Alligator mississippiensis: one gene and its partners. The protein of the gene in region 3 purifies or fractionates together with the protein of the main gene of each other region. This does not show direct contact. Links are inferred from orthologs where the notes say so. Each region holds a gene or a part of one and is shown on either strand. Other genes may lie near its edges.

The links.
Region 1: the proteins of CDK8 (region 3) and MED4 purify together in Homo sapiens (affinity purification with mass spectrometry; 9 studies listed by BioGRID and IntAct, counting the BioPlex papers as one, with this or other methods). This does not show direct contact. The link is inferred for Alligator mississippiensis from reciprocal best matches to the Homo sapiens genes CDK8 and MED4.
Region 2: the proteins of CDK8 (region 3) and MED18 purify together in Homo sapiens (affinity purification with mass spectrometry; 5 studies listed by BioGRID and IntAct, counting the BioPlex papers as one, with this or other methods). This does not show direct contact. The link is inferred for Alligator mississippiensis from reciprocal best matches to the Homo sapiens genes CDK8 and MED18.

The regions. Positions count from the first base shown.
Region 1 is NC_081824.1:413,318,851-413,326,834, reverse strand, and holds the start of MED4 (mediator of RNA polymerase II transcription subunit 4), read left to right. Parts: upstream 1-4,888; 5' UTR 4,889-4,953; coding exon 4,954-5,036; intron 5,037-7,984. UniProt on the Homo sapiens protein: Component of the Mediator complex, a coactivator involved in the regulated transcription of nearly all RNA polymerase II-dependent genes.
Region 2 is NC_081826.1:254,262,372-254,269,101, forward strand, and holds MED18 (mediator of RNA polymerase II transcription subunit 18), read left to right. Parts: upstream 1-4,445; 5' UTR 4,446-4,455; coding exon 4,456-4,597; intron 4,598-5,063; coding exon 5,064-5,617; 3' UTR 5,618-6,134; downstream 6,135-6,730. UniProt on the Homo sapiens protein: Component of the Mediator complex, a coactivator involved in the regulated transcription of nearly all RNA polymerase II-dependent genes.
Region 3 is NC_081824.1:429,551,283-429,558,713, reverse strand, and holds the start of CDK8 (cyclin-dependent kinase 8), read left to right. Parts: upstream 1-4,413; 5' UTR 4,414-4,451; coding exon 4,452-4,579; intron 4,580-7,431.

The sequences.
Region 1 (7,984 bases), about 16 Mb from region 3:
TATTTGACCAAAATCAAGAGGCTCATGATTTACCATACAGTTCATTGGGCTGGGCTCCACCAGAGTCAACAGAATTTAACTCGTCTGGGAGTTGCTGGTCCAGCAGCTCATCTGGTGCTTGCCTCCTTGTGCGGTGACTTCTGCCGCTGCTCTTGCTGTTCGTTCGGGATTGCATGGGGGGCAGGGGGGCATGAGCCACCAGATCTGCGCAGGGAGGGCTGGGGCCAGGGCTGTGCCAAGCTCTTCCTGGAGGGGCAGGGCTGCACTGGGAAAGGGGCTATAGGGTCGGGCTGCAGCCACAAATTCACTGTAGCCTCTTCCCAGCGCAGCCCCGCCCTGCCGGAAAGAGCTTGGCGCAACCCTGGCCCCAGCCTGCCCTGGCCTGCCCTGTGCAGAACCTGGGGCACATGCCCCCCTCCTCGCAGATGAGCAGCAGGAGCAGCAGCGGGAGCTGCTGAACAAGTAGGTGAGTGCTGGATGAGCCAGAACCCCCCCACCTCCCGGACTAACCGTGACTTTGTCCTGCACCTGCCCTGCCCCAGCTGGGCAGTGCTTGCCCCAGCCCCACGCCTCCCTCACCACGGGGACTTGATCTGCCCCCCCATGCCCCTCCCCCTGCTTCCACCACACCAGACTTACCATCTAGAGGCAGCTCTCCACGCTACCAGGCTAGGTATCGTAAATCGGATCAGTATCAGCCCATACAATTCCTTAAAAATCGGCTATCAGTATCAGTCCTAAAATTCTCTATCAGTGCAACCCTGCCTCCAAGGACTCTTCCTAATCCTGGACTCTTCCCCACCCCCACAACCCTATCTCCAAGGACTCTTCCTAATCCTTGACTCTTCACCCCCCCCACCCCACAATTGTATCCTGCATGTTATTTGTAACTGTATCTTTTCTAAACCATTTCCCTATTACAATGCAGTATTGTTGTGCAAGATCTCCTGTATATTCTCTGATTTATAAGCATCATGCACCCTCCATTCCTTTTCCCCTTCCCACACCCAGGCTTAGTTGGTTGCATGTTTCAAATGTAATTTAGTTGCATTAGTTGCATTTCCACCCCTATGTAGCCCCCAACTCAGGTAGTTCTATATTTCCTTGTGCTTTGAACATTGTTATTAGAACTTAAACATTTTCTAATAAATTACATTTTTTTGGCATCAAGGGGAGGGTGTAGGTCTGGCTCTGGTCCTCCTGGTCCTGGTCTGGCATTGCAGTACTTCCAGGCTCAGTGCCAGTACCTGTGGAGGGAACACCTGACCATGTTTTTAACAGCCACACACACAGAGCTCCCATTAGCATGTTTGCCCAATGTGGGCCACGTGCTTTATAGTCATGCTCAGTTTTAACTGCATTTAATCAACTTCATAGTTGTTTTTTATTGCACAGGTGCATGATGCAGTTATTGTAATGGGAATGAGAATGGTTTAACTGTAAAGGTGTTGTTTGGGCTGTTGAGTGAACCATATTGGTCACAAGACAGATTTGTAGAGATGGGGGGGTATATATATAATCATAGAATCATAGAACCAGAAGGGACCTGTAAGATCACCAAGCCCGGTCCCCTGCCACGTGCAGGAAGTTACTGGGCTCACACAGGCTCGTGTGTGTGTGTGTGTACACATATATATATATAAATCAGAATGCTTGCCCAGTGTGGGTCATGTGTTTTATAGTCATGCTTAGCATTGGCTGAATTCAATCAGCTTCATAGCTGGTTTCCATTACTGAGTATATGCTGCTTTGAGCAGAAGTTTAATGATAGACAATGTATTTAAGGAGGTTTCCTTCTATGTGAATATAAGCCAAGGGACATTTTTCCCCATGCTGATTGTGGGGGATGGGAGAAGGAACCTCATCTTATATTTAAGTAAATATGGTAATCCAAGTTCTTTCAGCCTTTCCTTATAAGTCATGCTTCTGCAGTCCTGTAATCAGTAGCATAACTAGGGTGGGGCAACTGGCACCACCTTGGGTTGGGGAACTGCTGCTGACAGCCATGTAATCGTGCTAGCAACAATGCAGCAGCTGGAAGTCACGGCAATCCCCAGGTGTTGCAGCTGCCCCAGGTGCTCAGCTGCATTGTTATGCCTCTGCCTGTAATCAATTTTGTCACTCTCTGCTGGACTCTTTCTTATTTGTCCGCACCTTTCTTGAAGTGCAGAGCCCAAAGCTAGACCAAGTACTCCAGGTAAGGCCTCACCTGTGCTGATTTAAGTGGCAGAATCGCTTCCCTTGAATACATAAAGACATCTACTTAAGGTTATACAAGAAACCTTAATATTAATATTCTCAAAGTTAGTGTGTTTGACTTGACCACCATAATAATGTTCTTAATGTATATTTTGTAAAAAGTAGTTCAAGTTTTTTTCTTTCTTTCTTTTTTTAAAAAAAGAACCCTTTCCTCCTCCCAACTCTTCATCCCATCATGGGAAACCATATGGACCCACAATATGGTGGGGGAGGTATGAGGCGGAGGCATCAACAGAGTTGAGGAACCTATATAGATCCATAGCATGGACCCACTTGAACTTGAATAATAGCAGTAATAGGATATCTTTTCCTCTATGTGGACTTGTCACAAGAATAAGGACAAGAAGTGCATTTTGTTAGCCATTTTCACACCTGTTTACTAGCAGAGGAGGAGTTAAATGGGATTCCTGCATTCAATTCCTGTTTTTATAGGTGATTGTATCTAGTGGTTACAGACCCTTCTGCCCCTGCACTTCTGGCCTGTTTTTGTCCATCTCTGCTCCTATCCTGTATTACCCTGACTTCTACCTGTAGCTATGCCTATTAATAAATCCCCTTGTCTTCACTTAGGCTCCACAAAGGCAAAGCCAGTTTTCTATATGAGAATACAAGGCAATTGCCTGCACTGTGGGAGATCCCCCAAGCTAAATTACCAATGCAAGTCATCCAATATGAGTAAAGCCAGCTCTGCACAGAGGCTCAGGGGTTTGTTTAGAGTTAGACCATCTAAAAAAATGAAGGTCTCAAAATAAAAACAAATTGTCTGCAGGGGCTATGATTTGTATCTACTAATTACCTTCCAATCTGATCTCTGTAAGGCAGACTTCTGCACTTGCGTGAAGTCCTGCTGACTTCAGCTAGGTTCAGGAAAACGGCAAGAGTCCACCATGCAACAATTTGCAGGACAGGGTCTATAACAGGGTTGGGCAAAATGTGGCCCGGGGGCCGGATGTGGCCCATCAGGCCATTCTATTCGGCCTGCGGGGCCCCTAAAAAATTTGGAAAATTAGTATTTATCTGCCCTGGGCTGCCTGTCATGCGGCTCTCAATGGCTTGCCAAAACTAATTGCCCGCCCTGATCTATAACTATATATCTGTTTCCTCTTTGTTATTGCCCAACTCAATTGCTTACACACTATCAACTCAAAAGGAAATCACTGCAAACTTTTAATTAAAGCAAATATTAAGTTAAAAGCAGATTCAGGCACTGCTCAGTCTAATATAGTTTTAAAATCACAGTTTAAACACTGCTTACTCCCAATGTTTAAAAGCCTTTAATTAGCCCTCCAAAACTAGGAGGTTGGGTTCTAAATCATGAAATTAAAGAATGTGCCTTCTGGTTTTCTTGTAGTACATCTGAATTGCCTTTTCAAGCTTTTCTCTGCAAATATGCTGGCTAGAATCATGCTGCTTTGAAAAATGAAATCTGAAATTTGCATGTCATAACTTGACTCCAGGAGCTGGATTTTTTAAAAAGATATTCTGAGACTTTCAATAAAATTCCAAGCATTTCTAATGTTGACTTTTTATTGTTTTTCTTCCCCTAGCCTAGTGTGAAAAGTACTTGGGAAAACAGGGGGGCTGCTGGCTATCCCAGGGAGCCAGCCTCACTGACCACACCATAGAAGGCATTATGCTGGTTCCTTTATTCCTGCTTTACAATCCTTGCCTCTGGTCCCCTTGCACATTTTTTTTCTTTTCTTAACCTGTTTAAGTATCTTTGGGTTCCTGTAATTTTTCCCATTAATGGAGGTATCTCAGGATTTTTCATTTTTGTTTCTTAAGCTTCCTAACAGTTTAGAGGGTTGCTTTAAAAAAAACAAAAAAAGTTCAGAGTTGCCACATGATGTTGCTGCCTCCCGAATCTGTGGTGCAAGTCCTCACTCCTAGCAGGAGCAGCCCAGGACTCATGTGTGGCACCTCCCACCAGGCTTGCAGAGCCAGCGCTGCATTCTGCTTCAGACAGCTCTGAAGAAAGCAAAATGCATTTGCTAAGGGGCAGAAAATAAAGAATGTGTATTTTGTGGGTTTAACCATCGTTTTCATTGTGAAAAGAGCTCCAAGGTTTCCTTCCTACTTTGATAATTTGAACAGTGTTTCTGGAGGGTTTTGAGGCCGCCCAAAAGTATGGCCGAGAAAACCAGTGAGAGCTCTGCTCTATCTTCCCCCCATCCCCTTGCTCTCCTGCTCCCTTCCACATGCAGTCATGTATCATCAGCAGGGAGCCTGGTTTTCTTTGATTAAAAAACAAAATCCCCAATTTTCAGATGAAAAAAGGTAACCCCAAATCCTCATTTTTCCATGATTAAAATGTAACACCATTAATATAGCTATCTATATCTATCTATACAGGGATAGTCGTGGATTTTGGGTTACTATTTTTAATCTGAAAATTGGAGATGTTTTTGTTTTGTTTTTACTCAAGAGAAAACCAAAGTCCCTAATCATCACGGTTTTCTCTTGAGAAAAAACAAAACACACGCACCCACGTTACCAGACCCGCCCCCAAATGGAGCTGCCTAGGCAAGGGCCGCTATGCCCTAGTGCGCATGCGCAGCTGGGGCAGCCTACCCACGCCCTGCTCCTCACGCCCTCCCGCCAACAGGGGCCGCTGTGGCCGTCCGCTGCGCCCAGGCCCACCCGGGCTGCGCCGCAGCCTGGCTGCGCCTCTCGCTGCTGCCGGCGGCGGGCGTGATGGCGGCAGCGGCGGGCGGGGAGCGGAGCAGCACCCGGGATCGGCTGCTGGCGGCGCTGGAGGACCTGGAGCTGCTGGCCAGGTACTGGTCGGGTGCTGCCAGCGGGCCGAGCGGGTCCGCCCCGCCCCCCTCCCCGGCAATCCGAAGCGCTTGCGCCGTGCGCTGACCCGCTGCTCGGGGCGCTGCGGGCGGATTGTCCCAGGCGGGGGAGAGCGAAGGGGGCTCCGCGCATGCGCTCTCCAGACCAAGGGGGGGGGGGGCTGTGTGCGCGCATGCGTCAAGCTGAGCGCGGGACCGGGGGCCCAGGGGTCGCGTGGCTCGGGCTGCGGCTCGAGGCCCGGTGTGGGGGGACACGCATTAGGGGCTGTGAGTTACACGGCCCGCGGGGGGGCGTCGGGTGGGATCGGGAATTGAAGTGGCGATTGGAAATGCATATGTATGTTTATACGTGTGTGTATACATATAAATGCATGTGCACGTGTATATAATGTACATGTGTACATCGTGTATAAATACATGCATATAAATACGTGTGTGTACGTCATGTGTAGCGTGCACACGCATGTGTATATATAAAAAGGAATTGGGCGCGCAGCTGTGCCCACTGCCTGGCTTCAGATGGACATGGCTTCAGCTGCCGCTCTGCTGGGGAATCAGACAGGTTTTGCTGCAGCAGTGACAAAGTCTGCGGGCTTGGAAATATGCTGAACAAGTTGGGTTAAAGATCTGGTGGCCATTCAGCTCTGTTAGAGTGCGGTGCTAATAACCCCAAAGTGCGAGGTTCAAGTCTCAGGCCGGGGGTTGGACTAGATCAGCGTTTCTCAACCCATGGGTAGTGACCCAAAAGTGGGTTACAAGAATATACCAAAAGGTCTTGAATAAACTTTAAAAGTAGATCAACACACTTTTAAAAAATGGATTCTCCTTTAAAGGAGAAAACCAGATGAAACCAGGGCTTTTCCCTTGCAGGCTGGCAATGCTCCAGCCTGTAGAGGGCTGCTGAGTGCCCTGCTGCCCTACACACCCACCTCCTGCCTCATATGGTAGGGGCAGAGGGCAGCAGATCAGGAGTGAGGGGCACTGGGTCAGGACTGGCCATCGATATTTACAAATGGGTCCTGGTACTAGATGACATCTCAAGGTCCCTTCTGGTCCTACTTCTATATGATTCTATCTCCCAGGCTGAGCTCTGTGCTGCTATGGTCAGGATGCTGCTGAAACAGGAAGGAGTTAGGTTACAGTTAGCTCGAATAGATCCATACCAGGGGTGTCAAAGTGGTGGCCTATGGGGCCCTGTCATCTGGCCATCAGTGCTGCCTGTGGGTCACAGACCAGTGCATGCTGTATGCAGCACACTGGTCCCAGCCCATCTGCCACAGACTGCATTTGGCACAGGGGCTGGAGCTGGTGTATACGCTGTGTGCAACATGGAGGGCCAGTGTGGGGTATGTGTTGCTTTCAGTGCCTGTTTCAAACCAGCTATGCACTGGACCTGGGGTTTGTGCACTTCAGGCCCAGGCCCACAGACTGGCTGTGCGTGCCAGACCTAGTGTGCAGGGCCGGTATGGCATGGGTACCAAATACAGTATGCACCCTGGATTGGCCTTGTGCGCTGTGTGCCACATGGGGCAGGGTTTAGCACATGCTGCACATGGCCTATGGAGACAGTCTGGGGCACGTGCTGAGTGCTATGCCTGTGTCAGACCTGCCCTACATGTTGGGTCCAGGTCCAGTTTGGATTGGGCCCACAGATTGACTCTCTGTGTCAGATCCAGCACACAAGGATGGTCTGGCATGGGCTTCACATGCAGTGCACACCCCAGGCTCTCTCTGTGTGTGCCATGTGTAGTGCATCTCCTAGACCAGCCCCACATGCCACATCTACTAAAACCCCAATCCTGTAATCTGCTTTTTGGGAAGTAGAGCCCATATCCATATGAAGTCCTTCGTTTGTGACTAAAGGTCTGTTTGTATGGATTAAACTGAGAATCCACAGTGTTCCTGTAATATTGCTGAAAAAAATAACATAACTTTTTGTTGTCATAGTATTGAAAAAATAAAGTATACTTAACATTACCTTTATGAAAAGATATACCAGATACCAAAAAATGGTTCTATAATGATTCTTCCAAACTTCATAAAGCATATATGAGCATTCGTATAAAATGTGACACAGATGTAATCTACTTGTTAAGAAATATTCAAGTTATGATTCATTTTATTTGGTTTATAGCTCAGACGTAAATTGATTCATGAAAACAGTGCAGTCAGCTAAGGATTGATCCAATGAATTTGCAGCTTGTGTGTAAGGTAGCTGCTTCTCCAAGTAACACAGTAAGATAATTACACTTTTCTGACAGTGGGAGCTTGAGGTATTTTAAGTGTCCATTACTTTATAGATAACTGATTTGACATTATTCCTTTTAACTGTCAGCATCCTACAATCTGTCTGGTATAGATTACACTTAATACATTTTTGGGTATTAGTTTAAATGGATTGTTTATGACACTGATCAGTTGCTTCACTTTCACTTGTATATATCCTCATGATATAAAAATAGCCATTATGACTGAGTCCAGAATAACCTGGACATTTGGTTTCCTGGGGACAAGTAGCAGGTGTGCTTCTGCTACTTGTATGTGCTGCTGTTACTTGTGCCTGGGGAACACCTGTGCCACACATGCTCTGGCGCACGGCAGGTTACCCTGGGTGGGATACAGGAGGCTGGGGCCAGCAACTGTGCTGGCCCCAGCAGCCTTACCAGGGGGCCGGGAAAGCTGCAGCCACGGTGCTTCTGTAGCTGGGAGCCTGGTCAGCCACCAGAGTATGGCTCTAGCAGGCCAGGTTCTGGTTTTGGGTGGTGCGCACTGCTACCACATGCACCACCCCAGTTTTTTTTCTGCACAGGTTTTTTTTTGACCCTGGCATTCCTGGGGTCAACTCCTCCACCCCCCTCACTGCAAGATAGCAGTGCAGAAAACACCTGAACGTGTGGTGTGTGGCACCACAGATGGGTCAGCTATGCTCA
Region 2 (6,730 bases), on a different chromosome or scaffold from region 3:
GTCATGCATCTGCTGATGCATGATAAAGTGCACTTAGCTTTGCTAATGATTTCGTCACACTGATGACTCATGTTCATCTTGGAGTCCACTATGACTCTGAGATCTCTTTCCGCTTCTGTGCTGCTGAGAGGGTCACTTCCCAGCCAGTAGATGTGCTGGATATTTTTGCACCCTAGGTGCAAGCACTCTGCATTTGTCCTTGTTGTACTGCATCCTATTGTGTACTGTCCACTTTTCTAACCTATCCAGGTCCGTCTGCAATCGTTCCCTACCCTCCGGATTGTGCACTTCACACCACAATTTATTATCGTCCGCAAACTTGGACAGAGTACACGTCACACCCACATCCAAGTCACTGATGAAGACATTGAAGAGTACAGGTCCAAGGACCGAACCCTGCAGGACCCCACTACCCACATCCTTCCAGTTCGATACTGACCTGTCTATTACCACTCTCCTGTGTGCGACTGCTAAGCCAATTTGCCACCTGTTGGACTGTGTAAACATCTATGTCACAGCCTTTTAATTTATTTGTGAGAATAGGATGAGATACCGTATCGAAGGCCTTCCTAAAATCCAAGAAAATGACATCCACTCTACTCCTGCGTCTAAGCGTTTTGTGACCCTGTCATAAAATGAAACCAGATTGGTTAGGCATGATCTACCTGCTATGAATACATGCTGGTTGCCCTGTTGCATTATTTTTCCCACTGGACTCCCACAAATATGATCCTTCATAATCTTTTCAAAGAACTTTCCAAGGATGGAGGTGAGACTGGCTGGTCTACTATTACTTGCCAGAATTACTGGCCTATAATTACTCCAGCAGACTCAATTAATCAAGTCTGCTCCAATGTGCTGTAATTACAGTGCATCGGAGTAGCATTTCCAAATGTCTACAGGCATCCTAGAATATTAATGTTGTAGCAGGCTTGCGTTTTGGAGCTTGGGTTGAGTCCCAGGCTTGAAATCTTGCTGTTTTGATTGGTTGAACTCATCCCCCAATCAGGAGGCAGTCAGAGGAGTTCAGTCACGCCCTTTTCCTGAGGGGAGGGAGAGAGGAGTCGTTCCCCCCCAATGCACCCCTGTTGTGGACCTGATTGAAGACTGCAACACTCAAGTCTGGAAGACTTCAGGGGTGGAGTCCTGGAGCATACAAAAGGAGCTGCATGCCCAGCATGAGGGGAGCACCTCCAGGAGAGAGAGAAGGGCGGGGCTTAGAAGAGCTGAGGAGAGCTGCTCAGGAGGGCAAAGCAGCAGCCCAGAAGTGCCCCTGAAGACTTCCATTAGCAGGAACGGCTCCAGCAGCTAGGCTTTCGGGGTGCAGCACAGCAACATGGCGTCCAGATCCTGGGAGCTGCGTGAGGCGGCTCAGGTCTGCAACCTCTGGTGCGTGGCCAGAGACACGGTACACAGGCCGGTGCATGGAGTAGGACCTTTGGAGCGCTTGGGCGGCTCAGGTCCTCAACCCTCGAAATGAGGCTGGGAGCTTGGTGCAGGAGGCGCTGCATGGAGGGTCTGGGAGCGGACTGAGCCTGGTGCTGCACGAAGCAGCCCAGGCCTCCGACCCATAGCAAAAGGTTGAGTCCAAAGAGCCAGACGGTGATTGGGCTACTGAGCCAGCCGACAGGGCCAAGCCAGAGGCCCCAGAAGCCCTGCGTAGCGGAGCCCTGTTCCAGGGGACAGCGACCCCCACTGAAGCCCACTGCAGGCGAGAGAGCAGCCTAGCGCAGAGGACGAGGACCACCCTGCAGGCCTGGGAGCCGTGAGTTGCAAGGAAAAGAGGATTACCACAGGGGAGGGGAGTCTTCCCCTGGTTAGTTAAGGCCTCCTAAAAGGGGAGGTCCCACTGAGATGGCCCCCCTAAAGTTACCAGCTTCTTTGTAGGGCTTGGGAAAAGCCCAAGGGCATTGGGGTATCCCCTCGGGATTATCTTTGAGGTTTATTTGTTTCAGATCAGATACTTACCAATGACTTACCTGTATCTGGAGCACTGGTATAAGGTTTTATGTCATTTACCCAGAGGGTATTGTTTATGTCACTGGTTTAGATATCTTATATATATATATATATATATATATATACATTGTACATATGTTTATATCCATGTTCCTTTCCCTTGTGATAAGTTAATGTAAATACATTTGTATACAGTTATGTCCCCTGACTGTCCTGGCCTGGTTCTATAGGGACGGAGGGAAACTGAGCGGTCTGCAGTTCCCACCCCACAGCACACCTGCCAGCTAACAATCCCCTTCAATTGGAGAAGGGGAGTATACAGCCCAGTTATCTGGGCTACAATGTAAAAGACAGATACCAGCATCATGCCGCCTCATCCAACTGTTTTAAAGTGCTCATTTTGTGAGGGATCCTAGCCTGCTTGGTGCTTGTTTTACAAGCTCTGAGAACGCAGAGCAAATCATGCTAGGCAGAGCCAATGACTAGTTTCTGGACCATGAGAAGGTTTAGGTGAAGAACAGCACTGAACTGAGATGAGCAGTTCTAGGCGTGCACAAGAGTGTAGAGGAAATGTGACTATCAAGCAGGTGTTTAGTTGCTTTCAGAGTTAGGTGGCAACTGAGCAGTGGTATTTTAGATCCAAATTTTTAATTTAGATGCCTCAGTTTTGCCAAAATCCTTTGCTGGATCTAGACCATAGATCAAAGTACATTTTCCAACCTTGGCTTAAGAAAGAAGGAATTAATATGGCCAGAGGTTTCAATTACTTTCACAGGCCAAGACAATCGATTTGTATCCCACATTTGACTACAGTAAACAGGATAGACATGCCATAATAGACAGCAGAGTATGAGCTATGGGCAACTGGTGCCTCCTGAGTCAGCGGCCAGTCAGTAACCATGGTGGGTCCCCCAGCAGCCTATTGCACTGACTGGGAAACATGAGCGGTGCTCCTGGAAATGCCAGCAGCGCCTCTCCTGGCACCCCCACTACCCAGCTGGTGCTTGCAGGGGGCACACCAGCGCTCCCGCCTGCCCCCCTGCCCATTGCCTAAGCGGGGAGTGCTGCCTGTCAGGGGGTGCACCAGCGCTCTCAGGGGGTGCATGTACATGTCACCACTGGTATGAGCTGTCTTCCTTATACACATTAGTATAAGCTAAGTGAAACCATTACATTTAATAACAAAGCAAAGCATTAGTCATCCATGAAAATAACTTTATGGAGACAAACATTCATTGTCTATCATCAATTTTAGATTGTCCATCCACCAAGAAATTGAAAAAATCTGCAATTGGAGTCTAAAACAAAATTTCTAGATAACAAAAGACATGGGAATTGGTACAACTGTGGGCCACTCTTCCTGAAGATATCCATTTAAGCTAAGTTTTGTTACAGGCTTCTGTTAGAAACAGGAGAAGACAGAGGCCTACAGAAGCTACAACAGACAGAAAGGTAAGCAGAAATAATAGCATAAATATAGTATGTTGTAATCAATTTCTGTTCAATGTAACCAGTTGTGTTAGGACACTCAAAATGAGGCATGGCACAGGTGTGGTACTGTGCTGCGAAACCTGAGCTGGTTGTAAGCTCATTAGGTTTGTTCAAATAAAAACGAAGAAAAAAAGGACTGAAACGAAACGGCATCAGTGGGAAGGGCAGCTGAGATAACTAGAGAAGGGCCCCAATTGCAAATCCGTCTGACTGAAAAGGTGAAGTGAAGAGGCAAGGATTTCCCAGGGCAGCCTCTTTTATTGGACCACCTGCTTGGTTGAGAGGAAGCTGGACAGGCGTTGGGGGGCGCGGTGCTCTTCCTCAGCATGAAAACATTTGTAAATCAGGAGTTGAACTACAGAGGCGTTGCTCAGGAGAAGTGTAGGGAAGTTTGGTGTCCCAAGAGAAACTCTCTCGGGAGACATTTAACTCTGGTTGCTCCCGGGTTATTTCTCTCTCTCAGACACTTTTTCTGGTGAAATCGACGATTTTGCAGGGCACGGAGGTGGGGGCGGGCAGCGCGAGGCGGGCGCTGCAGCTTTGCCGGCTGCCAGGGCCCTTGGCGGGGTTCACAAAACAGCGGCGTGCCCAGGGCACGAGCTTAAGCGGATGAGGTAGGAAGAAATGTCAGGACCCTGCGCTGGCGGGGCAGACAGGGCGGGGGTTACTGGCTGAAGGGCGCGAACCGCGCGTACCCGGATTGGGCAGCAGCGGCCGTGGGGGCAGGGCCGAGGGCCCGCGGCGGTTGGCCTCCGGATGCTGAATAACGGCGAGGTGACATGGCCCCGCCCCCAGGAGCGCGCGAGTCACCAGGCGCCCGCCTCCCAGCTGGCAGCTTCCCTAGGGCTCGCGGGCGGCGCAGGACAGGCCCCGCCCCCGGCCGGAGAACCCCACCCCCGGACTCCGCCCCCGCCGCCTCCCATTGGCGCGGAGACGGCGGCGCATGCGCACCAGGTTTGGACGCGCTTGGAACCCTCCCACCCCCATCCTCGGCCGAGTGTGCGCATGCGCCCTGCCCGAGCTGTCGAGCGACTACCTCTGCCCCCCCACAGCCGAGCTAGGTGGCCGGGCAGCATGGAGGCGCCGCCGGTCACCATGATGCCCGTCACGGGCGGCACCATCAACATGATGGAGTACCTGCTCCAAGGTGAGCCCAGCCCCGGCCCGCGCTGCCTGGGGCGGCCCGAGCCCCCGCCTTCCAGCTGGGAAGAAACCGGCTGCGGGTTGGCACAGTGCTCAGGCAGTGCACGAGGTGGGCAGGGCCTGGGCTCAGAGAGACGGGCAGGCTACATGTATTGCGTAGTTGAGCCATTAATTGCGCGATGTATGTAACCGGCGGGGGACGGGACAGGCGGCCTTGGACGGCCAGACTAACAAAAGCTGGCAGGGCCAGCGCTGACACTGTGCACCTTTATTTCTTCAAGTAATTAAGTTCCCTGCTGCTTTCAGGAAAAAAGAGCCTGGTGTTTTAAACCTCAAGGCAACAGACTGCTCCCTTGTGAAGCCGGGGTGGAGGAGGGGTTTCTGGGCAATCTTGTGCCAATAGAGGAGAGGAAAGGGCATGGGTGTTCGTGAACTGGTGAGCAGTGACGTTTCCGGTCTGTCTTCTCCAGGGAGCGTTCTGGATCAAAGCCTAGAGAGTCTCCTCCATCGGCTGCGGGGCCTGTGCGACAACATGGAACCGGAGACGTTCCTCGATCACGAGATGGTGTTTCTCCTCAAGGGGCAGCAAGCCAGCCCCTTTGTGCTGAGGGCACGGCGCTCGATGGACAAAACAGGCATGCCCTGGCACTTGCGCTACCTGGGCCAGCCAGAAATAGGAGACAAAAACCGCCATGCTCTGGTCCGTAACTGCGTAGATATTGCCACCTCGGAGAACCTGACCGACTTCCTGGTGGAGATGGGCTTCCGTATGGACCATGAATTCGTTGCCAAGGGCCACGTATTCCGCAAGGGCATCATGAAGATTGTGGTATACAAGATCTTTCGCATCCTGATGCCAGGAAACACTGAAAGTATAGAGCCCTTGTCTCTCTCATACCTTGTAGAGCTGAGTGTAGTGGCACCAGCAGGTCAGGACATGGTTTCTGATGATATGAGGAACTTTGCTGAGCAGCTGAAACCATTAGTGCACTTGGAGAAAATTGACCCTAAAAGGTTAATGTGAATAAAAAGCAGTCATGGGTGTTGCAGACCACTTTGGTTCAGGGTCATAATGACCTGCCTCCTTAAACTGTTCTTACAAAATACCTCTTGCAAGATTAAAGCTAGGGGCCAGGAATTATTTGGTATTTAGTTTTGTCACTCTGATAATTGACAGTTTGGGGTAATTTGTTGTTATAGGGTAGCTGTGAATAAAAGATGTTTGAAAACAGCTTAAAAGCAATTCTTTCAAATGAAATTCTAAGCAGTATGAGGAAAGGCATTTAACATAAGTTTGTATTAGCATTCCTGCCCCTCCAGAGTGCGTATGTGTACACGCACACACACTAATACTAGAACAGGGAGCATACAATGCCAAGTTTGAAGACATTTAACTTATGTAATACTGCTTCCCCAGTAGCGTATGTTTGCATGCCTTTTCAACAGTTGTACTTTTGTTGCTCTTGAATGCTGTAATATTCAGGTTCCAGGTTTTAAAACAATGTTCTCAAGCTATTAAAAAAAAAAAGATTCCATCCTGACATCTGGGGTTTTGGAAAAGCTCTTTGGGGGTGGAGAGAGAGAAAAAGAAAAAACAAAACAAAAATCAGGATTTTTAGCCGCAAGTGTACTTCATAATACTTTAAAATCTGCAGTTAGGAATACAGTCAAACACCTCACAGTCTGATTGCTTCATGAAAGTCAAGCATCGCAATGCCCAACTGTTGCACGTGTTGGAGTGAATACAATGGATGGGGGTTGGGTATTTATAGTATTAGAGCAATTTATAAAACTAAGATGAGATGATTTATTATAAGAGTACTGCAAGAGTGGTTTATTTTGATTGCAATTGGTTTCCCATTTTCTCTTTCAGTATTTATAAATCAAACCCTATCCTACAGCTCCATGGGATTTGTATTTAGTATAAAATATTTAATTTTAGCAATGAAAACTCTCAAATGCACACACTCCACCACAAGGGCTATTTTTTCATTAAAAACCTAGGCATTAAATCTAATGTGCCTAAGGCTTCTGACCTGTTACTTTTGTAGCGCTACAAAGTTTGTAATAATACAAAACATCACTGTGGGGTATATACATCTACACAGACCCCTGGCTGGAGCATGACAAAGTCACC
Region 3 (7,431 bases):
CACTTTGAAACTGGTTTGTTGCACTGAACTTTTGTTCTGTCACAGGTTTAAACCAATTTCTGATCACTTAAAATGGTTTATGTGTAACTTCTGCCCCTAGCCCTGAAGTCAGGGCTTCATCTCTGCCCAACACCCACATGTCCCATTGCAACAACTAAATTTAGGATTTTGGCTGTGTTTTGTAATATTTCCATATTTTAAATGTGGATAATATAACCAAAGTACAACCTTAATTTAAAGAGGGAACTAATAGCCGTTTGTGACCTATTAAGAAAAAATATCAATCAGTTCAGGCTGCCCTGAATACCTAGGCTAAAATTCCCTTTTGTTCCCCTCAATCTTTTCCTGAGGAACACTTTTCACTGGTGAGCAGTTACTCTCCTGAGTGTCCCATTGATTTAAATGGGAGCCCTCATGTTGGTAGATTTTCATCAATGTAAAGAATTTACAAGCTAGCCCATATATATTAATCACAGAAAAAATCAGCAGAAAAGTCCAGTGAAGAAGACAGAGATTGGAAGACCTACTGGGCTCTGAGTGCATCAAGTTGGCAAAAAGTTTGATTAATGAAACCAAGCATGAGTAGTGTTTTTCCAAAGTAGAAAGGCAGTTTTACACTTCTTGAAGTGGCTGCCATGAGTTATTTTTTCTTCAGCTGTGAAAACTGCCAAGCACAGAGCAAGTAACTTGCTGTATAAACACCCATGTCCCAAACTTAAGCTGTGCTTTCAGAAAGCAGCTTGGTACAGTACTTTTGTTTCAGATATTAGTATACAAATAAACACAGCAAATCTTCAGCTTTGCTTCCAGATTCACATGTATTGTGCTGTTACAGATCAGGTAACACAGACCTTCTTTGTTTAGCGTCCTCTTCTAACAGTTAGCATGTGCTTATTCCTATAGCTCCCTTGGACATTGCAGGATTTATTTGTAAATACAACTCTGTATTCAGAGACATTTAGAGATATGAACTCTCCTCGATCTCCCTGCTTTCACAGCAGACACTGTTCACGTTAGTACCTGTCTCCATTTATATGAACTCAAACAGAGTTAAAAATAATGACTTCTATACGGATAGTATTTACAGGTGTTAGGTTCTCAAAGAAGATCACAGTATGGAGCTATAATACAGCACAGGGATGGAATAACACGCTGTTGGCAAGGAGGCTATGAAGAATGGCAAAGGATGGAGTAGGAGGAAAAGTGAAAGAAAGGTCTGAAGCCCTGAATTTGGCAAAACTTTTAGGCAGATATTTAATGCTTTGTTGACTTTGTTGAGTCTGAAGCAGCACAGGATGAAAAGAAACAAAAAACTTGGAAGTGCCAATACACAAGAAAAAGAGCATTTATTCTTTAATATAAAGCACCGCTTGTCTTTTAGGAGAAGTGGTGCTGTCTCCTTTTAAATAATGGAGCTAAAACTTTTTGCCATCGATAGAAGTCTTTTGCATGTTGACAGATTTCTGAAATAAATGAGTACAAAATATTCACTCTCTCAATTAAATTTATTAATTGAAATAAAAGTGTAGGCTGATTCTAAAACATCAATGGAAATGTTTTTAATGATTTAATTTCATAAAAAAGATTGACATTTTCTTTCTAAGCCAGCTTTTACAACTGTGCAAGCATACATTTGAATTGCTAATACTAGGTGTTACCCCTAATAAGGATCTGGACTAGAAACTAGAGTAAAGAGACCGAAGATTATAGTGACATTGGATCTGGATTGTAAATATTCCAAGTGTCATGAAAACCTAATGAAAGAGGCACATTTGGAAAAAGACAGTCTGCTAAACTTCCTTAAAAACTGACCAACATCTCTAAGAGAAAATAATACTTTTGTTTTTATTGTGGCTTTGTCTTCGACTTATAAGATGTTTAGCAAATTATGAAAGATTTTTCAGGTGGCTTAGTGTGAAGATGTAAAACATTATGCAGGCTCCCTGAAAGCTACTCTTGATTTTACATTCTTCTCCGTTTTTGTGTTCTTCTGCAGCAAACAATTATTTTCCTTTTTTCCCTTCACAGCTCCATTTTCAGAAATCTATCTTCATGCTTACAACAATTAAAACTGAAGGAGGTTTAGAAACTTTCAGAAGTTCTACATTTTTATGAGCCCTAGTGCTGTCAACTCTCTAGAATTCAGGTATGCTATCACCAGCATCATTTACTGAAAATGAAACTGGGAGAACCATGCCTGTGCATGACCAGTAGAAATGCCATGTGAGAGGCAGGGATGTTTCTAGTGCTGATTTGCCAGATTTTGGACTCCTTATTCCTGCTTGCTAGAACCCTACTCTACAGCCAGGCTGGCCTGGATGAAAATATTTATGAACCTGAGTAGGGAATCAGAAAGTCATCCCTTATTAGCCAAATGTACAGATTTTTCAACAAGCATACCTCTTACATTTCTCTGATTGAGATCATGATCATTGGATCATGGTGTCCAGGGATCCAAATATACCTCTGCATTCACAGGCAGGTGACTTGAACTCAGGAGAAACTTGGATTGTTAGAATTTAGCCTTGCAAAATCACATTGATTAAAATGATATTCTTAAGGACTATGCAGACAAGGACCACAATCACCTCAGTTGTTCTTGATAAACTTTGCTGGAAACACAGCAGTAGGCAGAACCACTTGGTAGGAAGTGACGCATGATGACCCCTGTGTCTACACCAGCAGTTCTAGAACTCATTAGATTTGAGACATCCCTCACAAAATGTGAGCTCTTAGTTTTTACTTGTTTTTTGACTACAGAAAAATAGTGAGAACAAGTCTTCTGTTGCACAGAACTCAGAAAGGCCACAACAGGGCAGAACGCTCTTGATGCTATGGACTCCTATTTGAAATCTTTGGGTTTATCTTGTGAATTGTGTTTACACATCTCACAGCGTTAACATTGTGTGGCACTCCACAGCACCCTTGAAAGGGTCTCAAGGGCTCCATGGTCCCCTGGTTGAGAATCGCTGACAAAAGGGTCACGTGAGGCATCCTGAGCAGAGTTCGAATTATATTTTGACTCTTGGAGGGGTGGGGGTCTGCAAAAAAACCCCAAACGGTTCATTGATTAGCAAGTTCACCTAAGTGAAGGAGCAATCCAGTCGCGCCCCCCTGGTTATGATTTTCAAATCTTACAGGGGGCTCATGTCTCTTACTGGGGAGGGGGGGGTGCTCAGCCCTGCCACCCCTCCAGCTCCGCCTTAATTCATACCCCGATTGTGTGGGCTAACTCCTACTGTTTAACTCTGTGCCACTTGTGCCCAGTGCTGCTGCCCCCCTCCCAGAGCACCAGGGGGCTGAGGTGCCTGTGAGGTGGAGGGAAGGGCTGGGTAGGCCAGGGCTGCTAGGAGGGGCAATGACCTTACAGCTCCCCACAGTCTCCCATGTGTTTATGGTGGGGCTTTCTGAGGTGAACCCAGTGCTCCCAGATTATGACATGCTGAAGCCTTAAACTATGTCCATTTTAAGAGGCCCCATATGATAAAAACAATCCATGAAATCCACAAAAGTGGACTGTCATGAAATCTTAAGATGAATTATTGTTTTTTCTGCACAAATTTATGAACTGACTATTAATAACTGTGTAGCCATATAGATGTATATTTTTGTCATATTAGAACGAAAATGTCCAGACTCCTTTCTTATTTAGAAGCCCCTCATATTGCAAGGCCCTAAACTGTACCTTAATCTTAAATCCCCGCACTGGAAGACGCTACTGCTTATCACCCCACAACCCCGAGACCTGGAGGTGCGAGGTCCCCGACGGGACGGGGCGGGGCGGGGCGGGACAGAAAGCCCCCTCCCCTCCTCGCTGACTACGAATCCCGCCATGCCGCGCTGAGCGCGGTCCCCGCCCACGGACCACAGCTCCCAGCATGCAGCGCGCCGCGGCCACCAGGTTCCGCGGCATCTCCTCCTCACCGTCTCGTACTCCCCACCATTCACCCTACGGACTACACCTCCCGGCAGGCCCCGCGCGGCCTCGACCATAGCCAAGCGCGGCGCTCATCTACCCCCCTGCACTACCACTCCCGGCATGCAAAGTGCACAGCTCACGTCAGTGCTGTGGCGCAGGGCACGCCGGGAGCTGTAGTGGGGGTCGCCGCAGCCGGCTGGATTCCACGTGGTGCGCCAGGAGCCGGGAGGCGGCGGGGGGGCGGAGCGCGCCCGTGCGACGCTTTTGCGGCAGTGCGGTCAGGCGCGGCCGCCGTATTCCGGTGGCGATACCGGCTGTGGTGCCGCTACCCGGCTGAGGCGCGGCGGGGGCGCGAGCGGGGAGGGAGCAGCGCCCGCCGGCTCCCCCTGCATGGTCCGCGTCGCTGCCGCGGGGCCTCCTCCTGCTGCTCCAGCTCCCCAGAGCCGGCGGGGTCCGGCGGGGGCGGCGCTGCGCGGCGCGGGCGGGGGGCGGGTGGCGGGGGCTGCCGGCGGGGCGGCGCCGGGCGCTGAAGATGGACTATGACTTCAAGGTGAAGCTGACCGGGGAGCGCGAGCGGGTGGAGGACCTGTTCGAGTACGAGGGCTGCAAGGTGGGGCGAGGCACCTACGGGCACGTCTACAAAGCCAAGCGGAAAGACGGGTGAGTTCCCTGCCCGCTCGCCCCTCGGCCTCTTCCTTGTGGCCCTGTCCCCCGAGCCACCGCCCGCCGGCCTCGGCCACATCCGTCCGGGCGCGCCTGTCGCTGTCCGGCCCGTGGTGGCCCCTGCTCTTGCCCTAGCTCGGCCTGGGCTCCCCTCATCCCCGGCCCCCACCCGCTTCTTCCTTTGGCTGCTCTGTAGCCCCTCACCTGTCGCCCTTCACCTCGGACCCTTCCCCTTCTCTTTGCCCTCATTCTCGTTCCCTGTCTTGGCACCGCTGGCTTTTTTTGTCCCCAGGCGTGTTTTCTGTGGTGGGGTTTGATAAAAAAGTCTGTCTGCGTGTGCATCGTACTCCGGTGTATCTCCATCTTTGTCTCTATCCTGTTTAACTTGGCGACTTTGCTGGTGAACAAATGAGTGTCCGGGTTTAGAAAAGCCTCAGCCTGGCCAGCCTTTGGTTTGTGTAGGGTGGGATAGGAGCCCCCCCTGCCCCCTCCCCCAGTAGTGGGTTTGTGTCTGATTTATTACTTCGAGTCACCATTTTGGGTGTTGTTGCGGATTGCTCTAGTGGCTGAACTCTCTCTCGGCCCTGTAGGGGGTTTGGCAACCGTTTGGAATGAGGATCTGTTTCTGTGGCCAGTTTGTAGCACAGGAGATGCAGGGTTTTGCACAGATCCTTGGAAAAAGAAGGGGGCCAAGCTGTTGTGTAAGGTTTTACTAACCCACAACAAAGCATCACTTTTTCCACAATGGAACTTGGGGAGCAGGAGAAATGGGAAGCACAGAGCACATTGTTCTGCCTACTCCAATGTTTTAGCAGTGTTTTAGTTTGCTTACTCCATTTATTTCTCCTTGATGAACCCCTTCCCCAGTAACCTTAAAATGTTACTAATCACCTTCCCATGAAGGTAATGCTGGGTCATTTCAGCATTTTCAAGTGGCAAATATTTGTAATTCAGTAAATGGAAGAGATTTGTAAAGAAGTCTGTCAATTATGAATGATATATTTAGCTAGGCTTTATGTACTTCTGATGTTACATAGATGTGCTTTCCATTATTACATATAAATGCAGTTTTGCACAAACTTCTCTATTTAAAGATATTTTAAACATACTCAGATTGATCTTTAGCATAACCATTCCAGTCTCTATTTGTTTGCTGGGATGGGCCAGCTAGTGTGTGCGTGTGTGTGCTTCCTTTATAAATTAAAAACCCAGCTCTGCAAACCTGAACAGCTCACAAGAACAGTTATTGCTTAGGTGACTAATTTTCAACTGTGTGAATAAAGATTTTTACAATTCAGTATTATTGTCTCAATCCTCCAAGCATGTATATGTATAACTTCATTGGCATAGGTTGTCCTATAGATTTCAGTAAAGGTAAGGAATACGTGATGAGCTTTCTGCTATGACAATGACTTGAAATGTTTTGAGTCCAGAAGCAAAGCAATATCTTGATAGGCATGGGGAAAATACAGGTGAAATACTGTATTTGAAGTAGTAAAGCAGTAAGCTAAAGCCATTCCATAATTTGGGATATATATTGTTTAGAAAACGTTTATTAATTTCACATGCATTTGAGGGGAACAAAAAAGTTTAACACATTAAAAGGTAACAGTAATTAACACACACTTTTCAGACTCCTTTTCTCTGTAGTTATTAAGTGTAGCAGACCTCTGCAGTGTATAAAAGAACTCAGAATTTGATAGTACTTATGATGCATGAATTCAAACATTTTTAGCAGAATCATCAGTCTGCATGATGATACTTAACAGAGCAGTGTCTGGAGTTTCATAGTTTCATAGTAGCTAGGGTCAGGAGGGACCTGAACAGATCATCTAGTCTGACCCCCTGCCACAGGCAGGAATGAATGCTGGGTTCACAAGACCCCAGACAAGTGATCATCCAACCTCCTCTTGAATTTGCCCAAGATAGGGGCAAGGACCACCTCCTTGGGAAGTTTGTTCCAGCTTTTGGCCACCCTAACTGTAAAATATTGCCTTCTGATCTCTAACCTAAACCTATTTTCCATCAGCTTATGACCATTGTTCCTTGTCACCCCAGGTGGTGCTGGGGAGAAAAGAGCTTTGCCTATTTGCTGTTGATCCCCCCTGATGAGCTTGTAGGCAGCCACCAGGTCCCCCCTCAGCCTCCTTGCTGAGGCTGAACGGGTTCAGATCCCTCAGTCTCTTCTCATAGGGCTTGTCCTGCTGCCCTCTCACCAAGTGGGTGGTCCTGCTCTGAACCCTCTCCAGGCTGGCCACATCCCTTTTGAAGTGCAGTGCCCAGTACTGGACGCAGTACTCCAACTGCGGCCTGACTAAAGTTGCTTAGAGGGGGAGGATCACCTCTCTGGACTGGCTTGAGATGCACCTTCGGATGCATGACAAGGTATGGCTGGCCTTGCTGGCTGCAGTCTGTCATTGGCGGCTCATGTTCATCTTGGAATCAATAATGACTCCAAGATCCCTTCCCGCCTCTGTGCTTTCAAGAAGGGAACTCCCCAGCCTGTATGTATGCTGTGGATTCCTTCTCCCAAGCTGCAGCACCCTGCATTTGTCTACGTTGAACCCCATCCTATTCTCATCTGCCCACTTTTGTAGTCTGTCTAAATCTAGTTACTGCTAGCTCTTACTTTGTCTAATACGTTTGTTCTAAAATGGGACTCAAAATAAATGCACATTTAAAAAGTTATCTATGCAAACATGGTTTTTAAAACAATTTTCGTACTGTTCATGAATATATACACAATCTAAAATTTCCAGCCTGCGGAGGAAAACAGCAAGCCATTTGGCAACATGCTGCTTATACATATTCTGGCTTGTTCTATTGTTGCCTCTTCTCTCGTTCTCCAT